2 linked regions of the Saccharomyces cerevisiae S288C genome follow. The protein of the gene in region 2 purifies or fractionates together with the protein of the main gene of each other region. This does not show direct contact. Each region holds a gene or a part of one and is shown on either strand. Other genes may lie near its edges. The genes, in order: RPB4 and IWR1.

Evidence for each region.
Region 1: the proteins of IWR1 (region 2) and RPB4 purify together in Saccharomyces cerevisiae (affinity purification with mass spectrometry; 5 studies listed by BioGRID). This does not show direct contact.

What each region holds. Positions count from the first base shown.
Region 1 is NC_001142.9:148,733-152,164, forward strand, and holds RPB4 (DNA-directed RNA polymerase II subunit RPB4), read left to right. Parts: upstream 1-2,228; coding exon 2,229-2,894; downstream 2,895-3,432. Other genes in the region: serine/threonine protein kinase YAK1, read right to left, coding at 1-1,658; mannosyltransferase YUR1, read right to left, coding at 2,981-3,432. UniProt on the Saccharomyces cerevisiae protein: DNA-dependent RNA polymerase catalyzes the transcription of DNA into RNA using the four ribonucleoside triphosphates as substrates. Component of RNA polymerase II which synthesizes mRNA precursors and many functional non-coding RNAs.
Region 2 is NC_001136.10:253,168-256,912, reverse strand, and holds IWR1 (Iwr1p), read left to right. Parts: upstream 1-1,786; coding exon 1,787-1,868; intron 1,869-1,938; coding exon 1,939-2,918; downstream 2,919-3,745. Other genes in the region: ATG20 (Atg20p), read left to right, coding at 1-280; YDL114W (short-chain dehydrogenase/reductase), read right to left, coding at 383-1,309; NUP84 (Nup84p), read right to left, coding at 3,167-3,745. UniProt on the Saccharomyces cerevisiae protein: Directs RNA polymerase II nuclear import. Binds RNA polymerase II in the active center cleft between the two largest subunits in the cytoplasm.

The sequences.
Region 1 (3,432 bases), on a different chromosome or scaffold from region 2:
ATGTCAATACTGGTTGAATACGGTATACCCAGTATAATTTCAGGAGCACGATAAAACCTGGACTGGATGTATGTATAAACGGTTCTTGCCTCTTCGCAAGATGAGCCAAAATCAATAATTTTCAATTCCGGCTTATCAGGTGCGCAGAGCAAGATATTCTCTGGCTTCAGATCGCAATGAATCAGTTTGCTTTCCTTCAAAACGCATAACGAATCCAGTATTTGAGTGGTGAATGTTCTGATAAGTTGTATAGAGAGCCCATGAAATTTGTTTTGTTTTAATAATTCGTACAAATTATTGCTTAGTAATTCAAACACTAAACATAAGTGGTTCTTGTGGACAAAGGAGTCATACATCCTTAAAAAATGATGTTTATTAGTAGGGTCTATCTTTTGATTCAGTAGCTCTAAAATTTTAGCCTCCGTTATACTTTGAGTCAAATATTCTGTCCTCGATTTAACCACTTTTACAGCCAATATCTCTTTCGTCAGCAAATTTTGACATTTGACCACTTGACCAAATGTACCTTGACCCAAAATGTCTAGCACAAGGTACTTTCTGTTCTGCTCTACACCCAAAACGTCATTTACATAAAGAATATAGTCACTGTTTATGTTGTCGAATCCGTTGTTACATTTCCCTTCACTGGGCTTCGTAAGTACTCTCTTGGGGTTTTTGGACGTTTGGTAGGTAAATTCTGGAGAACATAAAGAATATGTGGTAATCAGGCTTTTCGTGACACTGACTAGGGGAGATATCGTCTTGGAATTGAGCGACGCACGTCTAAACTTTGGAGTAGCATTTAAGACAGGTTGAAGATCGTTTTTAGAGTTGCAAAGTTGCATCTGAGGAATGGACAATTTCTGACCTTGTACTTCATCTCTTCGTAACTGCTTGAAAGGGGGTTGTAGTGGGGGACTTGTACTAGGAGGATATGCGCTAAGCCTCCTGTAAGGTGACATGACTGGTATGGAGTTTGTTCCTTGATTAGTATTTGAATTTAGGGAAGAAAAATTGGACGAATAATTAGTTGCAGCCAGACTCTGCCTTCTTTGGAAATCTTGACGATCATAAAGGGAGGGAACAAATCTGGATCCAAATTGGGAAGGATGGATAGCGCCCTGCTGGTATACTTGCTGTTGTTGTTGTTGATAGCCAGAAGGATACTGGCCACTGCTATTTCCTGCCAAACTCGTATTAGAGCTGGTGTAAGCGGGATAACTATCGTACTGGAAAGGATTTGGGGCAGGTGCCCTGGCTGGAGGTACAACGAGACTAGATTTACGTCGTCTGTACGCATCTAGACTTTCGTTACTGTTTAAGTCATCGTATTGAGGGGGATACACCAGGTTTTGTTGAGAATTAGTTACTTTTTCCTCATTCCAAGGGTTAACAAAGCAAAATTGAGAATTCTGTTGTTGTTGTTGTTGCTGCTGCTGCTGCTGCTGGTGATGATTCTGATGCTGCTGCTGTGGAGACCTTTGAGAGCCTTGATTTACGTACGATGGATTCCATATACCTCTCCCCATATGGCTATTGTCTGGGCTTGCTCTACCCGAGCCCATACTAGCATCACTGTGGGTCACAAGGGTCGGGCTCAAGGAGTTATTCATGTTGCTATTGGAGCTGGACGAGTCGTTATTATTGGATGAGTTCATGATTGCTCAAATTAGCATGTGAAAAAAAGATAACGAAATTATGTTCCCTTGCACAATGGCTGTTGCTCTTCACCAAAATTCTTCTTTCGATATATTCCCAAATCTAATAGTGAGAAATTTGTGTAATACCCCCAGTAATGGCCCACCAATTGTTTCCTTATATCTGTTTAGCATTGCGACTCATTCATTGTTCAGCCCAGAAGGGGTAAATCTGAGGAGGGGGCATTGCTTGCAATGGTTCAGAAGGGGCGGTTAGGGTTAATAAAGCCATCGCGCTATTTTGATATTTTTATTAGGCCTTTTATATTTTTTTTAGTTTTTTTCTCCAAATCCTAAATCCTTTTTAGGTGTCATTTACGTGCAACGCGACAATAGTGATATTGTCATTCTTCAAACTTTTTGCAAGGTAGCTATTAAACATACCTACACACATACGTACATGCTTAACGGTGAGACAAAAGTAAAGAAAGAGACTTGAATGGGTTGCTGCATCTTAATAAGTTGAGTTTGAGGGCGAAAGTACACAAATATTCATCCGTATTGAAAATATATATATAAGAATATAGAAAAATGAATGTTTCTACATCAACCTTTCAAACAAGACGGAGAAGATTGAAGAAAGTGGAGGAAGAAGAAAATGCAGCTACTCTACAACTGGGCCAGGAATTCCAGCTGAAACAGATAAATCATCAGGGTGAAGAGGAGGAATTGATTGCCTTGAACCTAAGTGAAGCCAGGTTAGTAATCAAAGAAGCTCTTGTAGAACGTAGGAGAGCATTTAAAAGATCGCAAAAAAAACACAAGAAGAAGCATTTGAAGCACGAAAACGCCAATGATGAAACTACGGCAGTAGAGGATGAAGATGATGATCTGGATGAAGATGACGTCAACGCTGATGATGATGATTTTATGCATTCTGAAACTAGGGAGAAGGAGTTGGAGTCTATCGACGTTCTGTTAGAACAGACAACGGGAGGAAATAATAAAGATTTGAAAAATACCATGCAGTATTTAACAAATTTCTCCCGATTTAGAGACCAAGAAACCGTCGGGGCAGTTATACAGCTTCTGAAAAGCACTGGGTTACATCCTTTTGAAGTGGCGCAACTAGGTTCTTTGGCCTGTGACACAGCTGATGAAGCAAAGACTTTAATTCCAAGCTTAAACAATAAAATATCAGACGATGAGTTGGAAAGGATACTAAAGGAATTGTCAAACCTAGAAACACTCTATTAATAACTGTATGTATACGTGTGTGTAACTAGTAATGAATTTTCACCCTGTGGAAGTTAGGCCTATTTAACAGGAAAAAGGACAGGATTTTAAATCTCGTCTTGCTCTTCTTTTAAGAAATATTTGCCGCTACCGTTTTTCCACCATCTCATCAAACAACTATGTGGGGTTATATCTATGACACTTTCATCATCGCTTTTGCATCTACACCTCTGATCGAGCCTAACAGCGTAAGATGCTGGACAGGTGCCAAACGGTGAGTGAAAATAGCCAAGTTCGTCAAAATGAATGATTTCGTCAGGTCTCAGCAGTAGGGAGACACCAATTGAATGTACAGGTGCGTCACCCCACCTTTCGTAGTAAAATCCGCCCTTGGCATCTAAAGTTTCAAAAAAATGCTTATATTCGTCACTTCTGAAGAAATTCAAGTCGCCAATCTCAAAATTCGACCAAAAATGGCACAAATTGTAGTCAGAGTTTGCTTCAACAACGGGATAATGCTTACCAACTAGCCCTGAATCGGTCAAAAATGCATAGGCAC
Region 2 (3,745 bases):
GGTAAAAGATTCTGTGAAGTATCAAGAAACAGATCCGCATACCGCAAGTATCAATTTGAAGAAAGAAATTGAACAACTGTCTGAATCATTGGAAGTTACTGAGAATGATTTGGAGGTCATTTCAAAAGTCATCAAAAATGACCAGCTACCTAAATTTTCTAAAGAAAGGGAAGTAGATTTATCAGAAATTTTAAAGCATTATTCCAGATATATGAGAAATTATGCCCGTCAAAATTTAGAAATTTGGAAAGAAGTCAAAAGACATCAAGATTTTGCATAGTATTATGAGCATTTTTTTTTAGCGTTATAGCATACTTGATATATATATATATAAACAACGTGAAGATCAAATAACGTCAAATGTATTAAATAGACTAAAATATTATGCACTTCTCTTCGGATTTATTGCTCGCGGGCTGGTTGACGTTACATGGTCCATTCCACTGAAATGTTTTAAGAGATGCCTATATGGCCAACTCAAAGTTTTGAAAAAGGGAACTAGGTTCACATAATATGGGGCATTTAGTGTTTGCAGATGATTATGCTCCATCGCAGAGATTATCGCTAGTGCCAGTTGGGAAGGTATGATGTCAGGAGCCAATAACTTAGATGGTGTAGGGACATCAATAAACATATTAGTTTTGATTTTTCCCGGGCACACCAGTAGTGTTTTTATTCCAGTTTTATTACATTCCGTGGACAAACTTCTGAAATGCCTGCTCATACACTTGTGAAAACCAATCATTGCTCCTTTTGATGCACCATACGATGTCAGCCTTGCAGGAGTCAGTTCTCCGAGGACTGAAGCAATGTTAATTATAAAGCCTTCCCTATTGTCTATCATATCTTCTGCAAATGTACTGATGATTCGGTAAGCACCTATTAAGTTTATGTCGATCAATTGTTCTACCTCCTTGTTTGTCATATGTTCTAACTTTTTGATGTGAGCAACACCAGCATTATTTATAATTATATTAATGTTGCCATGATCTCTTTCAATAGCTTTTTTCAAATTTTTAATTTCATCTAGACTTGTTATGTCGCATTGATAGTAGAAAATGTTATTATATTCTACCTGAGCAAAAGTAGGAAATGATTGAATATCTGCCACAATAACTTTATTAATTCTTCTGGAAAGTTCCTTTGCAAGTTCAAATCCGAGTCCACTAGAACCACCGGTTATTAGTGCAGTTGCATTTTTAGAAAGGATGGAAGGGTTGTAGCTGGGCAGACTTAGGATGACTGATGGAAAATCCTTGAGGTGTTTTGTAGTTCCACTCGCTCTATTTATTTTATTCTTGCGTACCATAATTAATAATATTTCTTACCCATAAAACTATGTTAAATATGTCACTGAATCTCTATTGAGGTGTCCTTTTGATGATGCGGTTTCAGATATGAGAAATGTTCATTCAAGAAGTGTCACAAATTCTGTTCCTCTGCTGACGCCCGCTACATATTGACGTTCAAAAATATAGAAGAAAAAGGCAGTAAAGCGTTAACATAAGAAAACTAAAGAGCAAGTCTGATTTGGCACTACCACGCTTCCAACAGAAGTAATTGTTGCTTCAAATAAGTTCGCAGCATGTGGATTCAAGTCCACAGATGCGATATTTAGGAGCCCAATCAGATAATATTGATTCCGGGTTATCTCTTGTTTGTGTCGGCACAGGGGATTTAAATTGTGTAATGCTCAAGACAAGTTATTGATGAGAACAAGAGATGGTATATAAAACTGCTCTCTGAGGTATAGCTTTTGTTGAGGTAGGCATACAAGATTTCGGGAATGAGCACTATTAGTACCACAACGGCACCTGAGTTTATCAGAGTAAAGAGAAGAAGGGATGAGGATTCTGTGCAGGCATTATGTATGTGTTGTTATTCTACCGATATAACAAAAATGCGTTTGACTAACTAAGTTCATCTGGGACAATTCAGTAATTGATGAGGGGAAAAGAGTGAAGAAGCAGAAGTTCATATTTAAATTATCAAAGACTGTGAGCTCTGAAAGCTATCAATCCGAGCAAGAGTCTTCTACGCCACTCTTAAAACTGGCTCATGAAGATCATCGACATTTTGTATTGGAACAAAGAAAAAAAAGTCGTAGAGACTCAGATGATGAAAAATCACAACAGCGGCTTGCAGCAGAAGGAAGTACTGTAGATGACGATGGGTTACCGCCAGAGATCAATCAAATGGTGAATGACTATTTAAAGTTGAATAAAGGTGTAGAAAAGACAGAAAGAAAAAAACCAAGTAGGAAATATTTTACTGGGGATTCTGCAAAAATTGCATCACTACCCAGTTTAGATTACGTTTTTGACATCTACCATTTGGAGAAAATTCATGACGATGAGGTTGCTAGATATAACAACGAGAAAAATATAGGGTTTGTGAAAATTATTGAGCATATAGATTTGGCTCTTGATGAAGAAAGTGATCCCAATGAAGCCCGTTCAGACGATGAGGATTCTAATGACGAAAACTATTACCAAAATGATTATCCGGAGGATGAAGATGATGATAGATCTATTCTATTTGGTAGCGAAGGAGAGGATATAGCTGCATTGGGTGAAGAGATTGTTATAGGGGTTAATAAGAGCAGGTTTTCCTCTTGGAATGACGATAAAATTCAGGGATCTAATGGGTACCACGATGTGGAGGAAGAGTACGGGGATCTTTTTAACAGGCTTGGAGGAAAAAGTGATGTCTTGAAATCCATAAATTCCTCGAATTTCATTGACTTGGATGGCCAAGAAGGTGAAATAGAGATAAGTGATAACGAAGATGATTCTGATGAAGGAGATGATATTGAATACCCTAGAAATGAATTTTTTCCGACGGATGTTGATGACCCATTGGCGCATCATAGGGACAGAATTTTTCATCAGCTACAGAAAAAAATTAATAGAAGCTAAATTTGCCGTCAGAAACTGTTCAATGTATGTAAGTAACTGCATCTGTAATTTTATCTTTAGATAGTAGAAAATTCATGTTTAACCGCTTTTTCACTTCATGAACTTTTTTTTCTCCGGTGTGGAAACACAAAGATTCAAAGCAAAACTATAAAAAATCACGTCAATTACTTCTGAAATAGATAGAAGAAATGCATAAAATTATTGCTGTTTACTTAAAATATAAACTTATTCTGCAATACATTAATTGATCAGTTCGAAAGGGTTGCTGTGCGAGCAACGAGATCCAGATACTCTTTTAACTTTCCACTAGATTGGAATAATAAATAAATCTTGTCGTTCTCATTAGCGACCAATGAGGTAAATGCCAGGGCTTCCGAAATAAATTTTGGGATCTTTAACAACTTTGCGGCTTCCACTAACTTTTTATGCAATTCCATCAGTAGAAATGGAGTATATAGGGCTCTAATCTCATACAGGATTTCATAATCTGCCGAATCCGCGAAATTAGAGGAAGTTAAATCTACTAAAAATGTCTTGATCAATTCAAATGTATCCTTTGAAAAACCTTGCAATTTCTCTATTAAAGTAGGAATGTTCGATTCAGAGCTTAACAAGCTAACGGATTTTTGCCATTCTTCATATTCTCTTATGCCCTTTATCAAATGCTCATATTGAGTTATTTCTTCCAAAAACTGATCTTCATTTTCATCCTTTGATATGTTATCGGCTATTTTCTCTAATTCATAATTCTTGCATATTTCTCCAATATTATTTCTCTCCATAAATTGTTCGAGAGCCTTTACGCGGCCATTTAACAAAAATCTCCT